Linked DNA regions of Arabidopsis thaliana. The main gene of each other region encodes a partner of the protein of the gene in region 2 in a complex. Each region holds a gene or a part of one and is shown on either strand. Other genes may lie near its edges.

Region 1 (4,198 bases), on a different chromosome or scaffold from region 2:
AACATGTACGCTACTGCAGCGGCTGCAGTCCCGGGAGCTTCTTGAAAGTGTTGGTATGTCTCTATCATCAGAAACCCTGTGAGTCCTGGACTTACGGGTATTGGGATAAAAACAAACCGTTGGGTGATCAAAGTGATCCATCCGATGATAGTTGTTGGTTCAGAGGTTAGCTCGCACCATCGAAACTAAAACCTCTAGTGTCCAAAGAGGGTTTTGTATCCTGGATTTGAATCTTGCTTATCTTGCTGTCTCAGTCTCTGTCAAAATTTTGGGGTCGTCTGATACTTGAATTTTTTATTTTCAGTTTTTTTTTTGAGTTAATTTGTCTTTGTTACTGAGACTTCCTCAAAGTCAGAGCTTGGTCCACAATAAGTAATTTCCTAAATCGTTTGGATCATTTATTAGTGTGCACTTTGCAGTGCTTTGATAGTTTTACTTCTTTAGAGTAGTGTTTGGTTTCGATTTATTCCCATCTTAACAAGTTTATGCATAATTTCAGAAACTGATTCATGAAAGTCAACCAATAAACTTTAGAAGAATAGACCAAAAAGAACTTAATTTTCTAAACTTTTTTTAAGACGAACACAAAAAAAAAGTTGTGCAAAGACCTCGTAACTTCATCAAAATGGGTAAAATGTGGACTTCCATCATTCTGACTATAAAATTGAATAGGTGTGTACAACAAAGAGGAAACTGATATGACTGGAACAACAGTTAGAAGAACACAAGACCAATGCTCCCAGAAATACCAGAGAGTTTTGGAATAAACTGTCATGTAGGAATAACTGAAATAACCGCCACAATGAGATCAATCATCACTCTTCTCTGCTTAGCCTCTCCCTTTTGCATATAGGATCAAGCCAATGATGCATCAAAAGGGTCTATTGTAAAGACCAAGCAATGGTTTTTCTCTATCTTCAACTCGTTTCCTAGCAGCTTCTCTTGCCTTCAATGCAGCTTTCTCTTCTGCAGATACTTTCTTCGGTTTCTCATCTTGCCTCTTTCTCTTGTTGTTGCCAAGATCAACAGATGAAGCCGCTCCTTTCACAGCTCTTTTAGGATTTAAAGAAGCTGTGACAAGACGGCCAGGTGGTTTCCCCACACTTGGTCCAGCTCCTGAAGAAGATACAGGCTTTTTCACGAGAGGTACTTTGGTTCCTGATGATGTTTTAACCGCAGCGTAGGCCTCGTCTTGTGTCACCCAATGTCCTGTTTCATTACCCGTGTAAGCATACACACGACGAAATTGTATACAATCATGTTTGCAAGGAAACAAATAAAAAAAACTCGATATATATTACATACCTATTGAGTCACTGTAATAGAATCCAGACTGTGAATCATAGTGCAGACCATTGGTCTGGTTGTAATAATAGCCTGAAGCACTGTCGAGCATCCAATCTGCCATAACAATATGGTTACTACATGGTATATGTATAAATGAAAAAGGCTAAGAAAAATGGCAATCAAAATGATGAAAGAACCTGAGAGTGACTCAAAAGAAGCAACCGTTTCGCTCTTTCGTGATGATTCTCTATAGGGTTATAGGCATTAAAACTTATAAGTCATTTGCAAAGATGTGTAATATGACAATCGAAGAATCAGACGCTGCTTGGTTTGTTCATACTTTTGGTCAATGAAAGCAATTCACAAATCCAATTCACACATACTCTACGACCTCAGTAATGTTAAGTCTATAACAAACAGATCCAAAGCTAAGCAACAACCCTGAATATAGCAGCTATAAGTCGAAGAACAAATACTAATGACATCATAGAGAGAGATACTTACCGGATGTACCATCCTCTGGTGCACCGTTTGCTTTAGCTACTTGCTGAGCAGTTGCAATATCTTTCTGATAGCTACGAGTTGCTTTCTGAAACAAGTTGAGATATAAACAATGGAATCAGAAATAAATACGTTAGAATAAGTATCACTGGCAAAAGAAACAAGAATGATTACTCACAGCTTCGATCTGTTGAAGCAGTTTTTCGTTTTTCTTGAGCTCTTTGTCTTTGGCTGCACTCCTCTCACGCATATCAGTGAGCTTCTTATCAACACATTCTCGGTGACGCTTACCAAGGTCATGGTTTCTAATACTTGTTGGATTGTTCTGTATCCATATCTTACAGAATTCACACCATTTGTTCCCTTGACTTACCCAATACTGAAATAACACAAAAAACAAACTCAAGATCAATTTCAATTACGAAACAAGACAGAGGTTTCGTAATTCAAAGAGATTTGGAGAGAAAAGATGCGAATTTTGATTTACCTCAGTCATGGCTGTGGATCAAGGAGATGAAGATTGAATCGAAAATTAAACCCAGAAAACGAAGTTACCGGAACTATAAGATCAACTTTTAATCAGAATCAAGAACTAAGTGAAGAAAAATCTCGAGAGAAAGAGAGAGAGATTAGAAACCCTAATTCCTTAAACTCGAATCCCAAACTCGAGAGGAGAAGCAAAATATAAAATTGGGGGAGAAGAAAATCGGTTTGGTTTGTTTTCTAAATTCTAATTTATTTCCATCACTAGAACCGGTTTTCACTGGTTACACCGACTCAGATCTCACAAATTAAAGCACAGTAACAAACCGGAAATAACCAAGATTTCGCTGATTCCATAATCATTGGGAAGAAAGAGAGACAAAAATCAAATCTTTTTGGAATTTTCTTTTTCATTTTCTTGACTTCACATAGAGTATCAAAGTATCTGTGGTTACTATATTATTACAACAATCTTTTTTTTAGAATTGCTCTTGTAAGAAACTTTTCATTTGTTGTACAGTCTTTGACCAACTATTACATTTCCAATACCAATCCAAGATTTAGAGTAAAGGTTTTGACATCTTCTTTTACGATTTCGCTTAGGTCATGTTTGTTTTCGTTATCTTCACCGGGTAGTTTTCCCCGAGGCTCGAACAGAGACTCCATGTAACAGTTTAACAAACCCGAAGAAGCTAAGCTTTCCATCAGTGTGTCTGATCCAATCATGTAGAACTGAATGTACCGGTATAGATGGTCCAACACCAAGTTCCTGCAATTCAAAAGCATGTCGTTTTAGAGGATCTGTTTTTCGATATTTTTGTATTTAAGCTGAAGACAGATGCTTTAACTTACAGAGGCAAGTTCTTCGATGACAATAGCTCGGTTTCCATTCTTGTCGAAAAGCTCATAAGCATGTCGAATGCTCTGTTCCCAACAATCAAGCGACTCGTGCTGATGAACGTTTATAGCAGCTGCACAAAACTCTTCAAAATCCATTCCTCTGTATTGAAGTCCATTTAGCTGTAAAAAGCCAGTCAATGAAGGATCATTAACACCAAATTGTTAAAGCATTTATCAAAATCCGAGAGAACACAGTCATTTACCAAAGCAAGAAACTCTGGGATCCGAGATTCTTTCATTGCTTCTGTTGCATTGCTTGCAAGTGCCTGTTTAAACAGAAACAAAAAATGCAATACAGATTAGATTACTACGGTGTTTCTCTTTTTTTCTCAAGAGGAAGGAATATAAAAGAAGTTATAGTGTCACAAACCATTCTAATGGTATCCATTGTGATTAGGCCATCTTTGTTTGGTGCGAGAAGAGAAAATTGAGTTTTCAGGTAAAGAATTTCATCCTTGATTAACGTCTTCGATAGCGCCTGTGAAAAGAAAGCACATAATAGTGAGAAAGTAATCTTCAATGCTCTTTTCGACACTTTAAAAGAATGCCTAAAACATACCCTCAAAGCAGCTTTGCGTAATGAAGAAGATCGCAAGTACGCCTTCATCTGCCTAAAGATCAAGATATCGAAAGGGATATTCATGTCCGTATTATAAGCTCGGATCCAAGGATGCACTGAAAAAAGTAAATAGGAACTGAATTTGGTGATTTATGACTACCAAAAGACAGGAGACATAAAACTATAAAGAGCTGTGAAATTAAAAATGACTGACTCAAGGCTTGGGAGGCTGACATTCTTCGCCGGGGATCCTTAAACAATAACCGCTTAACAAAGTCTTTAGCGTCAGAAGACAAGAAGGGCCAAGGAGGTTCATCGAAACTCGGGTCAGCTTTAAGAACAGCTCTAAAAATTCCGGATTCAGTTCTTGCCCAAAACGGACGGCTACCACATAGTAGAATGTATGCTATGACTCCGATGCTCCACACATCCGCTTCTGTTGTATATGATCTGTGTAGAACTTCGGGA
Region 2 (6,643 bases):
TCGATTTTGGTTCGGTTCATCGGTTCCGGTTTTTTTGCCCGCCCTTACTTCATATCTAATTAATTTTATATACAATGTAATTAATCTGTTAGCAGTAAAGAGTAAGTACTGACTTAGAGGAAATGATCACATGTGCATTTTGCACAGATTCCGTAACAAAACTTACCTATATTTTACGACTCAAGAACATTAAACAGAACCAAAACAACATCTTATATTAAAAAAAAAAAACGTTAAACCAACTACACTTGAATTTCTTTTTATTCTTCATCATAAATGAATTGGATTGTTGGGCCAATTAAATACATTATCGTGTTCGGCTACCGATCACAGTTTTATGTAACACTCACGAGGAGATATGATTTGTTTAAGAAGATGGTTTAGATGATGTCTTATCTAATTAACATCAACTATAAACCTCTAACCATACCACAGAAATAACAAGAGCACAAAAGTCTAACATATAAGATATTTTGATAAAGTAATTAAAATGTTCAACAACCAACTAGGCACGGACATTTGATGGTACCAAAGTCAAATATGCGGTTCGTATATATCCACTTACTTTATATTTTGCTATTTAGCTCCACATTCGCATTATACATTTAACCAACGATAACGTTATCTATTTGTGTTAATCTTTTGGAAAAAATGTTAACGAACATGTTCTTGTCCCCATCATCATATGATGATGATTGCAAACCTAATATTGCATTTTTATTTTATTTTGCCTTTTGTTATGTTTTTTGGTAGCACTTTTGGGTCCATATTTTGGACACGTTGTCGCCATGTGTTCTCCAAAAGAACAATACATAATAAATTTGGATAATGGTATAACTAGTCTTTAGAAACTAGATATAGATGAGGTGATTAGTTGTGATATGCTAATTGCTAAATACAGCCTATTGTGGTCCGCTTTTGGTAAACCAAACAGATTGTCTTTGATTTGGTCCTCTTTTTTTTTTTTTTTAGTGCGGTCTGTTCTGATCGGAGTTGATCCTGATTATGGCAGTCACAATGTTCTGAGGGAACTTCCTCAACGCCAATTATTATACACTTGAAAGCTGACCAAATACTGGAAATGCAGGAGTTTCACAGACGGCCATCACGAGGAAACTGGTCTCACTTTCAGTTCTCTCTTATCTTCGGTTGAATCGAAACTAATGGACTGTCCACACAATATATCCTGTTGTTTCTCATGCCTCACCAGAGGTACTCGGCAAAAGACTAGAACAAATCAACCTTTGTACTTGCAAACTAGTTTTACCCAACAATAAAACAAATTGCAGTGTTACCACAGGATGAGAGCGACCAAAAGGTTCTCAAAGTCAAGGGTCTACTGAAGATAGGAAAACAAGTCGCCTTTGTTTGAGAATCAGCTCTCCAAAAGAAGGCAAATAAACTAGTTGGTTGATTTTAACAGGCAAGAGGTTTATTAGTATTAAGGCTAAAAAGGTTACCAATATCTTCTTCTAAGAATTACTATCACAGCTAGTGTTAATGGACAAAGAACTCTAAAAACTGTGTCAGGGGTTAGTTTTCTTACACTGTCTAAAGAAGCGTTGGGAGTGTGGGTTTCATGACTTGCCCACGCACCAATCTTAGTCACCAGGCAGACAAAAGCTCCCTAAGGATGAAGGCTAAGGCATGAAACGAACAACAAATGATCAGTTATACAAATAACAAAAGAAGTTTAATAGCTGAACACTGCAGCACACAGAGACTCACAAAGAAAACTGAAGCATTTAGTAAACTGAGAATTCTACATGTATCTGGTGAAACACTCCTGTAAATCAATATCAGGTCTCGCTACTGAAGAAAAACATGAATGGTTAAAAGTTGAGCCTGCAAAGAGAAAACAAGAACTAAGGTGTAATGTGCTATGAGCAGAGCTTGATCATGAAAAACATAAGAAAATTGATACTCTCAAGCAGAATTCTCTTCCTTGCTCAACGCATTCACAACTCTCTTCAAGATAACTTCAATAGGCTGGTGAGCATTTTCAACCGCTTTGGAGATGGCTTGCCATTTCTCGCCATGCTTCGGCTCACAAGCTACACACTTCGCCACAACTTCCTTCCTGTCCTCATCAGAGCCATGTTGAAGTTCAAATTTGTAGAACAACGCCCAGAAATCGCCAATATCTGGGCCAACGGTAACAGCACGTTCAAACCATGCTCTGGCTTTCTCCACCTTCTTGTCTTGCCAAAAGAGCTTGGCAACAGCTATGGTGACATGAGGGTCGCGATCACACTTCTTCATAGCATCAATACTCTTTGTTTTCCGTCGAGGACGTGGCGCCATCTCAATGTCCGCAGCCCAGAGGATACCACTCTTGGGACAGTCTTGCAGAGCCTTTGACATCAAGTGCTCTGCTTCTCTCTTGTTGTCATGCCTCAGTTCAGCGCGAATAGCAGCTAACCATAGCTCAGCCCCCCCAGGATTCTTCTTCCTGGCCGTGGTGAGAATAGCCCGAGCTTTGTTTAGCCCATTCACTTTCTCTTCAAGATCAGCGAGTGAGAGCCACAGTGGTATGCAGTGGGGACAGTGCTTCAAACCAGTGTCATAAGCTTTCCTGGCCTGTTCTAGATGCTTGAACCGTTCCTCGAGCTGCCCAAGCATTAACCAAAGCTTGAAGAATGTTGGGAATTGCTTCAAACCTTCATTAAGCAATCTCCTCTCCTCCTCTACGTTGCCAAGTTCTCTCTCAACAATGGCTGATTTCATCCAGACCCTTTCAGTCCCTCCTCTTTCCCTTGCTTTTGCAAGCAGCATTCTTGCCCTCTCCGGCTCCTTGTTCTCAAACTCAAGCTTGAAAGCAGCAAGCCAGATTTCCTCAGAGTTGGGAATTGCAGCATAAGCCTCTTGTAGAATAGCACGGGCTGCTGGAACATCTCCAGCGAGCCACTTCTCTTTGGCACCCATGAGCCAGAGAACCTCAGCTTGCGGGACATATGTTACAGCCTTACGCAACAAGGCATCAAGGGACTCCCGACTCCCATGGCTCTTCTCAAGCTGCGCCGCTTTAAGCCAGATACTTTTCTTGGTCAAGAATACACTAAGAGCATGGGCGTATATTGCTCTTGCGGTCTCAATGGAACCCCTCTTCTTGCACTCATCTGCATCAGCAACCCAAGTTCTCTTTCTATCCTCTTCTTCCACTCCAATACCTATTGTGTTCTTAATAATGGCCTGGCATGTAGCGACAGATCCAACTCTCTCACATGCCTCAGCCTCACTCATCCAATTTTCTCGGTCAATAACAACCCCTTCTCTCTGGAGAGTCTTTATACCCCTATCAATAATCTTTCCCACCATAGCCGTGTTATCATTAGCTTCATCTAGCTTCCCATTAGCTTCTTCTAACTTAGCAGCGGTGATCCAAATTGCAGGCTCCTTTGGGAGCTTCTCTCTCGCTTTGTTCAACACCTTCTTTGATTCAGCATATGTTTCGAGCCTCGCAAGTGCCACCCATAGCTCCAGATGCAAAGGGCAGCACTCCACAGCCCTGTGAAGCAAAATCCTTGCATCCTCCTCATTAGCCAACTCAACAACAGCCTTCCATAGTCTTACAGAGTCTGGAATATGTTCCAGTCCCTTTCTCAACACCCTACTCTTGTTCTCCACATCATGCTCCAGCTTTGCAGCCTCCAACCATAGCTTCACTGAATTGGGTATCAGCTTAACTCCCTTCGCAATAACCCCCTTGGCATCTTCTGGATTAGCTAACCTACAAGCTTCAAGCCAAACATCCTCATTTTTCGGGCACTCTTCGCAGCCCCTCTGAATCTGAAACCTAGCTGCTTTAATCTTCCCATCCACCTCCTCCACTCTAGCAGCAGCAATCCAGCCATTTGGATTCTTTGGATTCGACTGGGTCAGACTCTTGTATAACAATCTAGCTCTATTGCGATCGTATATCTCTTCATCAGTGGTTCTTTTCATACTCTTCAGGTCAGTTAAGTAGCCTTTAGGATCCACTACAGTTTGCCCCGAAACTGAATCTGATAGGTTATCAAGCTTCAGAGACAACACCGTACCTCTTCCCTCACCGACAGCAGTCAAGTCTGTCACCGGCGTCTGCCCCCATGGTGTCTCCGACCCACCAGCGGCTCTGCTCTTTGGGTCTAAGGCCATGACAAGCTCCTTTTCTTTCTTCGCCTTCTCCAAAAGCGTATCAGGAATAGGCACAAAGCTCTCAAACTTCTTCTTCTTGTTCCTCAGCGAGTAATCCCCAATCTCAGGAATACTATCCCACTCATCCGCAGACAAAGTGTGTAATTTCCTCTTCAAATCCGCAAACTGCTCAGTAATCTTAGGGTTCGAGGCTCGGTATTTCTCGATTTCTTCCTTCAGCTTCGCTTCTCTCCGATCTTTCCTCCTCGAATCCATCCTCTGATCAATAGACTCCCAGATGGCATCAGCCTCTTTATCATCCTCATCGTACTCAGCATTAGCGAACAAACCAACATCATTCCCTTCAAACTCATCAAACGTCTGATTCTCATCGTACCTTTTCTCCTCAGCTTCTTCATCGTCCTCCGCTTCCGCTTCACTTGGCTTCCCTGCTCCACGACCTACTCCTGGAGCAGCCGCTGTAGCCAAAGCAGACCGATCAGGAAGATCCGGAGCAGCACGAGCAGGACCAATATCAGATCGAGTAGTAAACCCAGTAGCACCACGACCCAAACCCGCTACATAATTTGACGGAGGCTTAGAATTGAGGAAATCAAGACGAGGCTTCGGCGGAGCCGCTTGCATACCACCCAAAAGCAGGACATGGATAATCACAGTAGAGAAACGAGAAACACCGAGATCGGACAATAAGATCGAATCGGAATCCTTTGAATCTACAAACACGCGGCTAGGGTTTCGCATACGGAGAGAGTAACGAAGGAAAGATTGTGGAACATCACTACGTTGGTGGGCCAATTGTTCGAAGGCGGAGATGGTGGTTGAATTAGGGTTCACGTCGATCGATAAAGTCTTCCCGTTTGGAATCGAGAGAAACACCATCGTAACCTAATCGAGATTCTCCGGTCAAAGAAACCAAACTATAAAAATCTCTGCTGTTACAACGAATATAAAGGGTGGAAAAAAAATAGTCGGTTCAGAGGTAAAGGCGGTGGGATATGTAGTGGGCTTTTTAATGGGCTTTTTGAACTTCATATTGTAAAACCACCGTTAGTATAATTCGAGCTTTTCATAAAGCGACACCGTATATGACTATCTCTGTGTGTTTTGGTTTTAAACGACGTCGTTTGCATGGCTTTGGGAAAAAAATTAAATGACTAAATATTGCGGTGAGCGTGGATCGAACACGCGACCTTCAGATCTTCAGTCTGACGCTCTCCCAACTGAGCTATCCCCGCTTCATGTAACACAATCAATGAGTAAAAGATATATAGAAAGAAAATAAAAACGAAAAGACAACGTAATGCGGTGAGCGTGGATCGAGATCTTCAGTCTGACGCTCTCCCAACTGAGCTATCCCCGCTTACTGACTCTTTCCAAACCAACGTAATAAATTACTAGTTATGAAAACAACAACTGAATCAAATAGATAAGAAGACATCCTTTCGTCTTTTTTGTTTCAATCACACGGACCAGAGCCAGAGGTGTGATATGTTTCAGCATCTTCTTCATCAACAAACCATAATAGCATTCGGAGAGGATATCCGTTGCCCAGTGACAACGACCAAAGCCAGGAATATATGGGACAGTGTAATAGGCAAGAAGAAAATAGAGCACAAAATAAAATACGCGCTGAATATCTATATATACATTTTTGCAGCAATTTTGTGAAATAAATCTTATAGTTGGGACTTATTTACAATAGCTGCCACTGGATTTTAATGTTTGTTTTTGATAATTAGAAAAAAAATCTTCAAATTAAATATTTGACATTTAACAATCTTCCCTAAATCTCTCCACATTAACTACACGATTAGTTACTAAAATAAAACTTTCAAAATATTTAATATCATTTATTTACTACAAAATTATCATTTTTGATATTGTTTTTCTCCATGACTATAACAATTTAATTATAATCGTCAAATCGCAGAGATATTTGATAGCATTTAATTATTACAAAATTACAAAATATTTAGACAATAATTCATAAACATATCATAAATAAGATTAACATTAATAAAATAAATGTTTTTTTTATGGGACGGGTTGGCGGGACGGGTTTGGCAGGACGTTACTTAATAACAATTGTAAACTATAAAATAAAAATATTTATAGATAGATACAATTTGCAAACTTTTATGTATACTAACTTTAAAAAATAAATTGTTTCCGCGGTGTACCGCGGGTTAAAATCTAGTATTTAGTGAAGAACGAAAAAAAATAACTAGTATATCACTTGTTGTAGCGAGCACGCCAAAATAGAATGCGACCTACATGGAGTTTAGAGCCAAAGACAGAAATGGAAAGGCAAACTGAAAGGCTTTGTGGCCGAGTTCTGGATCACCCAGCAAAGCCCAAATAAGAACAAGTATTGCTACAATAAGTTAACCAACAACCAAGTCCTGAACTGCTTAGCCGCCTCTAAGAACATAGCTCAAGATTAAAAAGAAATGGCAAGCCAAGAACATAGACTACCTCAAAACCAGGTATGAGCTGGAAACAAACC

What was found. Proteins that work in one complex are often made in the same cells at the same time.
Region 1: EMB2770 (region 2) and AT1G49590 share a complex: the UniProt entries of both Arabidopsis thaliana proteins name them as parts of the pre-mRNA splicing complex.

What each region holds. Positions count from the first base shown.
Region 1 is NC_003070.9:18,353,083-18,357,280, reverse strand, and holds AT1G49590 (C2H2 and C2HC zinc fingers superfamily protein), read right to left. Parts: upstream 2,499-4,198; 5' UTR 2,285-2,498; coding exon 2,276-2,284; intron 2,168-2,275; coding exon 1,967-2,167; intron 1,877-1,966; coding exon 1,792-1,876; coding exon of another isoform or gene 1,772-1,791; exon of another isoform or gene 1,535-1,771; coding exon of another isoform or gene 1,485-1,534; intron 1,402-1,484; coding exon 1,306-1,401; intron 1,210-1,305; coding exon 872-1,209; 3' UTR 548-871; downstream 1-547. Other genes in the region: AT1G49580 (Calcium-dependent protein kinase (CDPK) family protein), read right to left, coding at 2,897-3,040, 3,124-3,291, 3,375-3,437, 3,542-3,649, 3,731-3,846, 3,945-4,198. UniProt on the Arabidopsis thaliana protein: Nucleic acid-binding protein that promotes Pol IV-dependent small interfering RNA (siRNA) accumulation, DNA methylation and transcriptional silencing.
Region 2 is NC_003075.7:1,515,485-1,522,127, forward strand, and holds EMB2770 (pre-mRNA splicing factor-like protein), read right to left. Parts: upstream 5,080-6,643; 5' UTR 5,017-5,079; coding exon 1,927-5,016; 3' UTR 1,729-1,926; exon of another isoform or gene 1,641-1,728; 3' UTR 546-1,640; downstream 1-545. UniProt on the Arabidopsis thaliana protein: Pre-mRNA splicing factor required for splicing and for the turnover of unstable transcripts. May be a U5 snRNP-associated protein involved in the formation of U4/U6-U5 tri-snRNP. Involved in responses to abiotic stresses.